3 linked regions of the Mus musculus genome follow. The protein of the gene in region 1 purifies or fractionates together with the protein of each later gene. This does not show direct contact. Links are inferred from orthologs where the notes say so. Each region holds a gene or a part of one and is shown on either strand. Other genes may lie near its edges.

Evidence for each region. The genes of interacting proteins can lie anywhere in the genome.
Region 2: the proteins of Slc39a11 (region 1) and Galnt16 purify together in Homo sapiens (co-immunoprecipitation; 3 studies listed by BioGRID and IntAct, counting the BioPlex papers as one, with this or other methods). This does not show direct contact. The link is inferred for Mus musculus from reciprocal best matches to the Homo sapiens genes SLC39A11 and GALNT16.
Region 3: the proteins of Slc39a11 (region 1) and Fam174a purify together in Homo sapiens (co-immunoprecipitation; 3 studies listed by BioGRID and IntAct, counting the BioPlex papers as one, with this or other methods). This does not show direct contact. The link is inferred for Mus musculus from reciprocal best matches to the Homo sapiens genes SLC39A11 and FAM174A.

Annotation. Positions count from the first base shown.
Region 1 is NC_000077.6:113,563,016-113,567,229, forward strand, and holds the start of Slc39a11 (zinc transporter ZIP11), read right to left. Parts: upstream 2,801-4,214; 5' UTR 2,696-2,800; coding exon of another isoform or gene 2,661-2,695; exon of another isoform or gene 2,571-2,660; intron 1,848-2,570; coding exon of another isoform or gene 1,672-1,847; intron 1-1,671. UniProt on the Homo sapiens protein: Zinc importer that regulates cytosolic zinc concentrations either via zinc influx from the extracellular compartment or efflux from intracellular organelles such as Golgi apparatus. May transport copper ions as well.
Region 2 is NC_000078.6:80,517,548-80,521,789, forward strand, and holds the start of Galnt16 (polypeptide N-acetylgalactosaminyltransferase 16), read left to right. Parts: upstream 1-1,442; 5' UTR 1,443-1,621; coding exon 1,622-1,798; intron 1,799-4,242. UniProt on the Homo sapiens protein: Catalyzes the initial reaction in O-linked oligosaccharide biosynthesis, the transfer of an N-acetyl-D-galactosamine residue to a serine or threonine residue on the protein receptor.
Region 3 is NC_000067.6:95,312,151-95,316,427, reverse strand, and holds the start of Fam174a (membrane protein FAM174A precursor), read right to left. Parts: upstream 2,801-4,277; 5' UTR 2,612-2,800; coding exon 2,178-2,611; intron 1-2,177.

The sequences.
Region 1 (4,214 bases):
AACGGCTCTGTGCATAGCTGCTGCCGGCGAAGGGGCACCGCTGTCCCCTAAGAAAAGAAAGGGCCCTCTCTCATATGGGCCCAGAGAACCTCCTCAGAATGAACTATAAGACTGAGACCATATCCTGTCCATCCTGTCCTAGATTGCAAATGTCAGGCTTCGCCTACGGAAAGTTACAAGGCAGAGAAGTCCACTTGCGAAGCGGCCGTGTGTCCTGGCACTCACATACACATACAAGCTAGGTGTGGGCATCAACTCAAAGGCCTCATTCAGTTCCCTTTCGGCCCTCTAGCATCCACAGGGCTGGACCTGACCCCACCTGGCTTGGCTCCCTCAGAGCTGAACATGCCTGCATATCAAGGGCTAAAGAGGTTCCCTCAGCTGCCCTTAGAGGAAGCCATGGCAGAGTATGGACAGGGCCCTGGGCACAGCCCACACTCAGAAAAGGCTGTGGGCTCAGATGAGTCCCGCTGGGCCCCCATGCTAGGTCTAAGGTCTAACCATTTATGGGTTCGGATTCCAAGCATATGCAGCCTTTTGACGATGACACTGGAGAACCCCACAACCAAGAAGCAAAAAAGCAAATAACGAAAAACTGCCAAGTCTGGCAACCTGAGCTTGGTTCCTGACGCCCACCTGAGGGAGAGAACCAACAGCTCTCCTCTGACCTCGGCATTTGCACCATGGAATGCACAAGCCCCCCGACCCCACCCCGCAAAACACACACACATAGAGGTAGTTTTAAAATGCACCCTTCCCCAAATCTCACATTGTCTAAGTAAGCTTACTATTTTGTGTTGGGCTGCACACATCTCTATACCGAGTGCAGGTTGGGCACACATGACAGAGGAACTCAAGACAGCAACTGCACACATTTTAAAATTTTTAAAAAGAAAAAAAAAATCAAGCAAAAAAATAGCCTTTTCCACCCTCCCTGAGTCAAGTCAACCTCAAAAGAGTGGTGTGTGCTGGGCATGGCAGCAGAAACCTTTTAGTCCCAGACCTTGAAGAGGCAAATACCAGCAGGTTTCTGCAAGTTTGAGGCTAGCCTGGTCTACTTAGTGAGTTTCAGGACAGCCAGGGCCATATAGTAAGATTCTTTGTCAAAACAAAACAAAACAAACTAACAAAAAACAAAAATGAGAGACTTGAGTATTTTTTGTTTTTTGAATTTGTTGGATTTTTTTTGTTTGTTTTTTAGCTGAAATCCTAGAGCATTAACACACTGATCGCTCCCAGTTGCTTGTGAGTAAAATGTTAAACATACACAAAGACCGAGATGGAGCTAGCATCCTCTCAAGTCTCACTATCCGAGACAGATCACAGCGTAAAACATCCCCCAAGTACCTCATTGTGTCTTTTGACAGCTACTGGTTAAAAGAAACGATTCCCATTTGCCAGCCAGCAAAATCAAACCAAAGGGAGTTGTGCGTCTCCATGGCGGCCAGAGAGATAGGAAAACACTCTTCTAAGTTCACTGCATAACTGAGTTCCTGAGAACTCAGAGCCCTGGCCACCCACCACTTATCACAGTGTGAGCCCAGCACGCCTCTTCTTCCACTCACTGTTTGAAAACTCTGGCTACTCTCTAAGGGTGGTGGAAAGCCAGATGTCTGGTCCCTCTTGAGAGCTACTTAGATGATTTTTTTTTTAATGTAGCCTGGAACTTACTGTGTAGCAGAGAGTGGCTTTGAACTCCTGATCCTCCTGCCTTCCACCTCCCAAAGCCGGAATTGCCAGAGTGTGCTACAATAGCTGGTTTTTGTGGTACTGGGGAATCAAACTCAGAGCTTTGTACATGGTAAGCAAGCACTCTACCATAGGGGCTCCATCTCCAGCCGTTGGAGCTACGTAAAAGCACAGGGCGCAGGCGACATCACACACTTGTGGGATTCCCCAAATCTGCACCTTATTTAACTCCATGGGGGAGTTAAATCTTGCCAGGCAGTCTGCTTCAGACTTTCTCCAGAGCTGGATATTGACATCATAAACTGGACCAGTGACCAGGACAGGGGACCATTCTCCACCCATCCTATAACTTGAGAGAAGCCAACAGCGGGCTGACAGCACAGAGCAGCCAGCTCCCATGACTCCAGTAAATTTCCTTCTGTCCTTTTCTGTCTCTTTCCCTGTCTTTTAAATGTTGCCTCCGCACTTCAAAACGCTGGTTTAGTTAAAGCGAGGCACTGCGTGGGCTTAAGGGAGCTGGCACAGAACTCGTGGACCGGACTTTACCAGAGACGCCCATGAGACAGATTCAGGATCTGGACCACTAGCATGAACATGAAAAAGTTCTCCAGGAGGCAGGCATGCTGCCGGCTCTCCAGCCTCCCCCAGACCTGCCACAGGTGGAGGTGGGAGGGGCCTCCGAATGGCTGCCACTGATACCACAGGTCCCTTGTCCCCTATACACACCACCATGAAACAATGAATGAAGAGACCCTTGGCTGTGCACTCAGGAGCTTCGCATCACTGTCTCCAGCTCATCCTAGGGTGGAGCAGAGGGGTCCCAAACACCCTCCTCCCCCTGCCACCTGTCACAGCCCCTGCTGCTCTTCCAGGACTTGCACCTTAGGGCACCCCTTTGCAAGCTCCAGGCCGCTGCACACTCTCGAGACTGCCCGGCACCCCGGGCCTGAAGGAGAGAAAAGGCGACTCACTAGGGTGCCCTCTCCAGCCCCCTCTCCACTTCCATCAGCCCCCGATGCCACTCGCTCGCCCGGCTCCACTCTCGCGGTCACTTCCTGCTTCACTCCAGCACACGTGGCCCTCCACCGCCGGGCCCCGCCCCTTCGCAACCGGCGAATCCTGCCTGGAGAATAAAGTCTCAGGTTCACAGGCTTCCGTGCTCGCAGGAACAGAGGCGGGCGGGCAAAAGCAGCACTCTCCCCTTCCCCCAAGTCCACAAATGCAAAGGCGAAGGCCTAGGGCAGTGCACACACCCCAGGAAATCTTGGGGAGGCTACAGACACCCAAAGAAGGGGCACTTTGGATCAGTTCTGACGTACTTAATGTTGTCTACATCTTTTGTCATATGTCCTAAACATGACAACATAGGTCCTAACTGAGCTACGGAGCCAGTGTCAAGATGGGCAACATTCTGAAGGTCAATGGCTTTATTCTCAAGGTCAATACCTTCCATTAGAAGGATGCCCAGGCTCTGCATTCTACTTGAGCTTGCAATCTTTCACTTGCTGACTACAGCCTGTCAATGTCAATATTGAGGACCCACTGAGGGCCACATATGCGAAGCATCACCCCAGGTCATAGGCTTTCCGCTCCAGGGCTTCTATGAAAACACCTTGACTAGATTTAGCTGCAATAAAATGAAGGCCAGATATCTGGTTCAATTTGAATGTCAGGAAAACAACAAATAGTTTCTTATTATAAGTATGCCCTGTGCCCTGTAAGGGATGCACACATGCAAATGTCATGACTGTTTTTTGAAATGTAAAGTTAAATGAGTGGTCAGTGTTGCATTTGGCAGCCCAAGCATAAAGTACTCAGGACAGGAGAACAGCCTGCAGTTGGAGTATACAAAGAAGACAGTAAGAGCAGGCATCTATTACCCTCTTAGAGAGCGGTGTGCCTTCCTAGTGAGGACCACTCTGTATTCGCAGCGATGAAGGAAGAACTCTCTTAGGGTGGTTGTCCAGCTCTCAGCGAATGCCCAATCAGCTCCCACCAGGTTTTATTAACTTATATACACGCTAGGCTTAAGCATTTCACATACATTGACATCCTTCAATCTCAGGTCCTGGACCCAGGTAACCCTTTGAGCAACTTAAAAAGAGGCTGCAGACTGCAAGTCTGGCCACATAGGCAGCTAGGAGATTTACACAGCAAAGACATTGCACGCTGCCAGAACGATTTTGAGTGCAGCCGGTGCTGTTCTCTTTCTGAATAGTTGTTACCCAGGGTCATCTTGTCCACCTGGTGGAATGATGGTTTTCTAGACAGCAGCACAAAGGATTTCATGGCAGACCTGGATTTAACAATGGTTGTGACCCTGCACTCCCATCCACCCCAGCCCCAACTGCCCTTTAGGGGTATGTCTTCCATATGGGAAAAACCTAATGGCTGGTTGTTAAGTCAGGGTCGTCTCCCTTGTCGTGGGAATCAAAGTCTAACGATTGAGCGATCCTGGAGAGTAAATACTCACATCCTAGCATTCCTAAGCTTCGCTTTTCTCTAACAGGTCTTTGTGCACACTG
Region 2 (4,242 bases), on another chromosome or scaffold:
TATTTACCTTATTCCCCAGATGGCTTCATTCGCAAGCCTGACCTGTCTTGGATTTTCCGAAGAGTCAACCTACCTGACATCATCCAAAAAGCACCACCCTGTCCACTCTGCTCCTGGCATTTAAGATCCTCCAGTATCTAGACTTGCCCAGTCTGGCCAGTCTCAACTCACACCAGGTCTTTGCCAGTATCCAGCATGCTCTCATGAGATATTATCCTGAGGGCCTTGGCTGTCCCTGCCCTTTCCTTATTCTTCTCTTCCTTTTTGGGATTACCCTCCTATTCTCCAGATTTATCCACTTTCTCTGGGAAGCCTTCCTAAAGACCACTTTGCAAGACTATACTTTCAGGAATCATTTCTGTAGTTCGTTACTGAAGACCAGTTTGCAATAAATTATTTCTTCCTCCGCAGCATCTACTTTGGTATCTCAGAGCTCCGAGTGTGTGTCTTCCTTTGCCTGACAGGCCCTAGCCCGCCTTGTCTTCTGCCTGGAGCCTGAATTATTCACACCTGCTTCTCACCTCTCATCGACTTCAGGGCCTCCGCAGAATCAGAATCTCAATGATGTCTATCCTGTCTCTCACCACCTTATTTTGCACTTTGTCAGAAAAGTGTCAGAGGGCTCTTAGACAGGGTTCTGTCCACTAATCGAACCCTGTGGCCTGGCCTCTATGGCCTCCCTTCACTCTCACGGAACGGTGATGACGCCTCAGGACAGTTCAGGGAGCCGCGATGCCGGTGTGGATAGGAACTAAGAGAAAGCTAGGAGCCCCAGGGTAATGAAAGATGTCCAGCGATCGCATCCCTGTGCTTGCATTGGTTGTACCGCAGCGCAGCTTCACCTCGCTCTCCAGAGTGTCAAGTGCATCAGCTTCCAACTCCCCACCCCCTCGGGCCACCGAGGCGGATGGAATCCTGGGTCTCCGAGAAGGATTCCGGTGCAAAGTCAAGACTGCCTACTCGCTAGCCTTGCCCCCTCCGAAGGACTCTCTGAACACAGGTTGAACCCTGCGCCAGAGCTCAGTTCTCAGCGCTGCCGGGAACTGCAGCTAGGCGACTCGGGCCAAGGCCAGGGGTCGCGCGTCTTCGCTGGTGACTCAGGTCCGCTCGGCGGTGGGTTAGGTGTGGGTGGAGAGACAGACCAGGGCCACGCGGGGGCAGGGGACGGGCGAGAGATAGCCGAGCGTTGAGAGAGCAGAGACCAGCTCTGGTTCATCGCCATTCCACCCCGCGTCTGTCTCGCTGAGACCCGGGATGCGGGAGGAAGGCCCGCGCCACTTCCCAGCGGGCGCGCTCTTTAGCGGGTGCGCAGCGGCCCCGGCTGCCCGCGGCGTCTGGAGCACAGAGCCAGCTAGGCGCGCGAATGAATGAGCGCCCGGGGCCGCGCGCGCTCGGGGCTGAAGGGCATTAGGACCGTGAGGATCGCTCTGCGCTCCTGTCTCTTCCTATCACACCCCCCCCCCCTCCCCAACCACCACCACCACCTCTCTCTTTTTTCTGCTCTGCAGGACTGAGCAGCCCGGCGCAAGCGACAACAAACGGCTGGGGCAGCAAGCTCCCCTGCTCGGGCTCCGAGAGCACGCCGGCCTCGGGCCCCACGCGGAGCGCCCGTCCGCCCACCATGAGGAAGATCCGCGCCAATGCCATCGCCATCCTGACCGTAGCCTGGATCCTGGGCACTTTCTACTACTTATGGCAGGACAACCGAGCCCATGCAGCATCCTCCAGCGGCCGCGGCGCGCAGAGGGCCGGCGGGAGACCAGAGCAGCTCCGCGAGGACCGCACCATTCCGCTCATTGTGAGTACGCTCTGCGCACCGGGTGAGCGGCGGGCCGGGGATCCTCGGCGCGCGTCCTGCCCCCCGCTGTTAGCCGAGGTTCGCGGGGCCCGACCGGGGGCTGCGTGCCCCGAGCACCGTTCGGGCTTTGTATATATTGGAGAATTCCTGCTCGTTGTTATGGCAACCTGTGCGGGGCCCGGAGGGGCCAGGGTGCTTGGATGCAGGGAGGGTGACAGCATGTGGGGGCAGGGAGAAAGTGCTGCAAGTTTGGTGGGCCCGGCGTGCGCGCGCGACTGAGAACGTGGCGGCTTTCGCGGCCCCGCGCAACCGGGGCTGGGGACTAGGGGGCTGCGGGCGTCTCGCCATCCCCAGAAGGCGGCTGGCCCTGGAGTGCAGCGAGCGGGTGGTGGGAGCAGAGCTCAGCAAGAGCGCGTAGGTGGTGGTGCGCACCGGGTCTCCAGCCTCTGGGGTAAAAGACGCCGGGCGGCGGCGTGGGTAAGGGAAGGGTCGCTGAGCGCTGCCCTTGGCTTAGCGCCTTCACATCCAAGATCAACTTGGACCAATTTTTTCAGCTTCCACCCCTACCTTCCCCGGAGGTGTTTTCTGGCTCCCCAGGGGCGGGGAGAAGGCTTGACTCATAAGCGCTCTTTGCCTCCAACCCTAGGGTCTGCAGTTGAAGGGGACTGTGTGTTCGTTGGGCTGGGCAGTTCCCTCTCATGAGATCACCCTCCAGACATCTGAGCGAGTAGGAGAAACAAAAGCGGTGTTAGTACTCCGAGAGCTCCCGCGGAGCTGGGGCGAGGGGTTGGGGGGCGGATTAAGCTGCACAGTAGAACCTGGTGGGGGCAAGCTGAGCCTGTAGGGGGCGTCCTGTCTACACTTTCGTCTGGTCAGCTGGTGATGGCTTCGTGTGGCCAGGCCCAGCACCTGTTGAGGAAGGAGACTAGGGGACCCTTTGAGAGAACGCTAAGATGGGAACGTTCTTCCGACGGGGGCAGGTAACCTCTTGGGACACACTACTGTTGGTCAGAGACAGCTTGAGAAGTCCACCAGGACCAGAAAGAAGAGCAAAGAACCAGGGAGGTGTGTGTGTGTGTGTGTGTGTGTGTGTGTGTGTGTGTGTGTAGTAGGGGAGGGTGTGATTCTTGCCCGGAAAGATCTGAACCCGCGGGAAAAGGGGACTGGAGCTCCTCCAGTAGGTGAGGTGCAAGGTCAGGAGTGCGGATACCTGTATCCTGTAGAATGCAGGGAATTTGTAGTGAAATCCAAGAATATGAGGATGGTTCTCTAGGTACCCTCACTTAGCCCCATCCTTCCCGTATTCCCTCACATCACCTGTTTGTAAAGAAGTAAAAACTCTACAATGGTATCAGTTTCTGGGCCTGATGAGAGGAGACCTTAGGCCCTAAGGTTTGTGTTTTAACCTAGATTCCAAGTTGTGGTGCATCGCTGCAAACATGCTTAGGAGGGCCACTGTGCTGTACCTAGGACATGGCTTTCAAAAACTTGTCAGTGTCTGAACATACGGAGCTAAAATAAAAAAAAAAAACCTGTACACTCTAGGGTGCTGAGATCTATGTGGACGGACAGGTCAGAGGAAGAAAAACACAAACATTGGTGGTTCTAGACTCCAGTGAGTTCCCACGATGTGTGCCCCAGCTACCCTATTCTTAGTCCTGGATCAGTCCAGTCCCGGTCTCAGGGACCAGAGCCTAAGGCCAGCATGATGGAACTGAGGTCAGATGATCGGGCTCCCCATCTCTCTCTCTCTGATGACCTGCTGGGAGGTGGCCTTCATCTAGAAGAGGAAGATGCTAGGAGTTGGTAGGTGGGAAAAGAGGGCAGAGACCACAGACAGGCTTCTGTAGTCTGGTCCAGAAACCTGAACCCTGACTTTGGTTAGGACACCTATCTTCTGTGCCTCTCAGATGAGAGTCTCAGAATGGTGTGTGTACGTATACTGGGGACTCTTGGTGGGATACGGGATGAGATTTAGAAGTTGGGGGGGGTGTGGCACTAGTGAACACTTCCCTGCCCTCCCCCCCCCCCCCCATTCCTGCAGATGCTGACTTTATTGCTGGTAAGCTGCTGAGACTGGAAGCTGGGAGCCAGAAAGAAAGGCAAGGATGGAAGTCTCAGGGAGTTGAGTGGCAGAGTCTTGCCTTACCACTTGTAGCCTGGGATGGCTCTGCTGCTGGCCTGACTGCAGGCTGCCCTCGATGTTGCTTTGCATTGTGTTCCTATCTTGAGAAATTCACTTCCATGTTGCTCTCAGCTGCAGATAAGCTGTGCATGCAGGGACCGTGCTGGATGCTTTCCGCATTCCCACATTGGTACACACGGCAAGACTTAAGAAGTACCTCCTTGATAAAGGAGTGCAAAGGGATTCTGCTCACTGGGAGCAGTGAACAGGTCCAGCTTCAGATGCCCTTACCCACAGCTCTAGCCTGGCCTCGGTAGAA
Region 3 (4,277 bases), on another chromosome or scaffold:
TTTTTAAAGTCTCATAGAGTTTGATATAATAAAATTTTACAATGAAAATAATCAGTTTCAGCCCACATCATCGGTTACAGAAGTGACCTGGGAATGGACTCCCTTGGCACAAGTAAGCAGCCCTGGTTCTCTGTCACACATACTTTGGGAAAGGCGCCAAAATGAGCAACCACCATAATGAGGATAAAGAACACAATATGGAAGTAAAGAGAGCGAGTTCTGGATATACCAAGATTTAGTCAGCACCAATCACATTTTGGATGTTAGACAGCCAACTAAATGTAGAACTTGGACTGCGCCCACGTGTGAGATGCTGCCTGGAGTGTGCAGTTTTTATCAGCCACAGTTCTAAATCTGGTGCTTCTCATACAACAGGATACGGAATTATCCCAGAGAATCAGAAAAGGCTGAGTTCTTTCAAGTTGTAAGGAAATGAACACAGAAAAGCAACAGCAGCAACTGTTTATATAAAAGATTCCAAATAAGGAGGAATAAAAATAAAATACCAAAACCAAGAAGCATATGGAGAAAACGATCAGTATAACTGTGCTTTCTATGTACCAGGAATGATATGGTCCTTATAGGCACTACGTACAGTATTACATTAAAAACTGCATAGTAAAAATGATTTAAGTTTCTTTTAAGATTTCTAATCATCAAGAAGTCTCACTTTGGTGGTCATGAGCTTTTAATAACTTCTGAGCATTATCTAACTCCCCAGTGACAAAGTGGGTGTGGATTTTCTGAACTTTCTAAATCAACAGCCTCCAGCTCAGTGATACTGCTTATGTGAGGGGCTTTCAAATGCCTTGCATTCCTTTATATGCTTAGAACTGTGGATTCTAACCTAGCATCAATGAACTCTGAACAAATTGAACACTTGCTTTAAAAATGTAATCTTAAGTTAACTGTTCATAAAACCAAAACTAGTAAAAAGTGACTTTTTTTCCTTCAAAATCTATTTAACATTTGGCCTAAACCGAGTACAAAAAAATAAAAAAGGGGGGGGACCCTAGATTTTCAAATTTGTGCCTGCATCAAATCATTTGTAAAATTTGGTTAATGGATACAAAGAAAATCCACCCTCAAAAACATATCAACTTGGAAAAGGGTGCACTTTAATACCCTTTTCTGATTCTTTTTAAGAATATATACAACACTAAAATGTGACAAGACATATTTTCTTGATATCAGTTCCAATGTAGAATTTCAAGCCTTACCAGTAAATATTTTGTATTTCATACACTTGTAAGAGAATGTGTTATTTGGAAAACAGATGTAAAGTAGGAGCTAAGGAAGACTTGTAAAAAAAACAGATTCCATAAGATTGTTTGGGCGACACAGAAACACCGTACCATTTTAATCAACCACTTAAGACACGCCATGTTGGCTTTCCATTTACAAGTACTTATTTTTTAAAAATCCACATTTCGTTTTGAGGATTTAAGGACATTAAGTAACGGTAGTGTGTAGTTATGGGAAAGTGTGAAGTAATTTGGAAAACAGGAAATAAACAAACCAGTACAGATCTCACAAAATACCATCTGCTCTCATTTTAGGGAAAGGGAAACCACAGTTGTTCTCTTGGCTAGCTAGCCCCTTCTGCTTGGGGGTCTTCCTCTATGTGACACCTCTCCAGAGATGTGGCGCCCAATTAATTGAGGACAATTTAACTTTGGGATAGATTAAGGGCACCATCTAAGAAACATAATTGGCAAGTTTTGCAAAAGTGAAACATCCAATCAGGACTTTGTGCGCTACTTTTATGGTACCCTGCCTCAGAAATAGGAGTGCATTCTAACAGGCAAAACGTGTTAGTTACACCAACTGCAGAGTAGTGAGAGAAGTATTTCACCGCACTGTAATCAAAATTCCTGGGGATGGAAGAGCACTTCTACTTCAGGGTCTGTGAAGGCAGAGGCAAGCCTCAGAGAGCAAGATGCTGAGGTTAGGCTACTGATTTCTAAAGGAAAGGCAACAGCTTGTGTCACCAGCTAAGGCAGCACAGGCCATTAAGACAGCCAACCAGATGGTCTTAGATTCCAGTTCCTGACGCTGGGGCGGGGGCAGGGGTTAAGTCAAGCCCAGGTCACAGACATTGTCCCTGCTTCACGGAGCAGGTCACCTGTCAGCCAGGTCTAGGCTGCAAGGGGGTGCCCATCGAGGCTGTGCCTCACCTGACGGTCCTGACCACGAAGTACACCAGCACCGCGGCGCTCACCACCACCAACACGGTCAGGGCCCGCTGGGTCATGGGTTTGTCGCCAGGACTGGGACTCACGGCCAGGCTGCCACCCTGGGAACCTTCTCCGGCCTTCCCTTCGAGGCCGTCCGCCTCAGACCCCGCCCCGGGGATGCTGTCATTGCGGCTCTCCGCGCCTGGCAGCCCGGCAGCATCAGACTGAGCTTGGCCCCGAGGCTGGGCCGCGGTGGGGCCCGGAGGAAGCGGCGACAGCGTGTGCGGCCCGGGCTTGGGAGACTTGGACTCCTGCACCTCCCTGACCACCATCGACGGTACCGCCCCGGACCCGCTCAGAGCGGGCAGCAACAACAACACGAAGGCCGGAGCCAGGAAGTGGCAAGGCCCGGAGCAGCCGCGCGGGGTCGGCATGGTCTCCACGCCGGCCTCTCAGCACGCCGCAGCCGCCGGGCCGGCCTCCCGGTCCGCAGCGCCGACCATGGGCGCGCCGGAACCGCAGAGCCGACTCTCCGGAGGAGAGCGGGTGGCTGAGACTGCGCCGGGTGGCTTCGGCGGCGGCGGCGGCAGCAGCCTGCCGGGACAACCGGAAGTTCGTACATCCCCGCAGCCACTGCTGCTACGGACGCCTCCGGTTGCTAATATGTAGGGGCGGGCTGCGCTCAGTGACGTCAGAGGTTCGAGCCTATTGCGCACGCGTAGCTGTGGGACGCTCTGAGAGGTCCCAACTAGGTTTTCCATGTTTCAGGAGTGTTCCTAATAGTGAAAAGGCTTGGGCCAGAGTGGGTAACCTGAACAAGATGAACAGTTATGCCTACAGTTCTTTCCAAGTGGGGAAACGGGAGCAATAGGAAACTCGATTTAATTTCCTTGATGTCAAACTTCATAACTACATCTAATCAGTAAACACTTCCTCTCAGTTCCCTCAGGAGGATCACAAACTTTAAAGAGAGCTTTTTCTAGCTGTAAGGGTATCGACTATTCTTGGAATCCCTTTCTTTGGAAAATGTAAAGTTGTTTATTCAGGTTTTCCCCCTTTAAAGTGTAAATATTTGTAAAAACCTCTCTTGTCAATTTCCAGAGACCTACAGTCATCCTTTTGAAATAAAACCAACAAGAAAATTGTGCCCCTGTTAACTAGTTTTTGCTATGGGCTGCCTCAAGCTGCAAAACTATCCCTGAACTTATGGAAGAGAGAAAGTTTGTATATTACCTTAGCAAATACCTGGGGCTGTGATCTGCCTACTCTAGTTTACTTTACAGAACTTGAACTCCAAATTTAGTTCTCTTACATTTGAATAATGTTGCCTTTATCTAAGATTTCCATCAAGTAACACTGAGAAAAACCAGACACCTGCCTGGGGCATTGGAGCATGGGTTGTGTATAAATATGATTAGTTCTTTCTTGAGCTTTCTTTCAGTCTATTATAAACAGATTTTTTAAAAGGCTTTCTCAGACATCTGTCAAGAGTCAGCTGTTTAAGGGTCTGGAACTGCAATTTAGTCCATGTCCTGGAAACTATTAGGATTACCCTGAAGACACTGCAGTAGCTATAGAGGACCTCTAAAATCACAGCTGAAGACATGTTCTAGACAGCCTGTTCCAATCTTAAAATGCAGAACGTCACAAGACAGGTATCTGTGAATTCTACTTAATTTTGCAGGCATTTTCAAACAAGAGCTGAAGTATTTCCCTTGTGAGGGTTAACAAAACTTCATTTTATGCTAAGCATCCAACTTGGTACCCATTAGCCATTTGTCTCTGACTCCAGTCCCTTGAAGATAAGCTCCCAGTAACCTGGACTCAGTGACCACATACAGAAATGCACAGCCATGGCATTATGATATGACTAGCTGCTTTTTTAATTGTGTAATTTACTTATGCAGATACCCAAAGATTGTTTGGCCTTGCCCACGTAAGCTTGGCAGAAAAGACCAGTATTTGGTTATTTGCATAAATATTGAAGATCTTGTGGTTTTGTCTTTAAAAAGCCTTTCCCCATACCACTCCTCACAACATGCATGAGCTTGGGCTTTAAGACTATTGCCCTGCTAGCAGATAATCAATGCATCTTTTAAT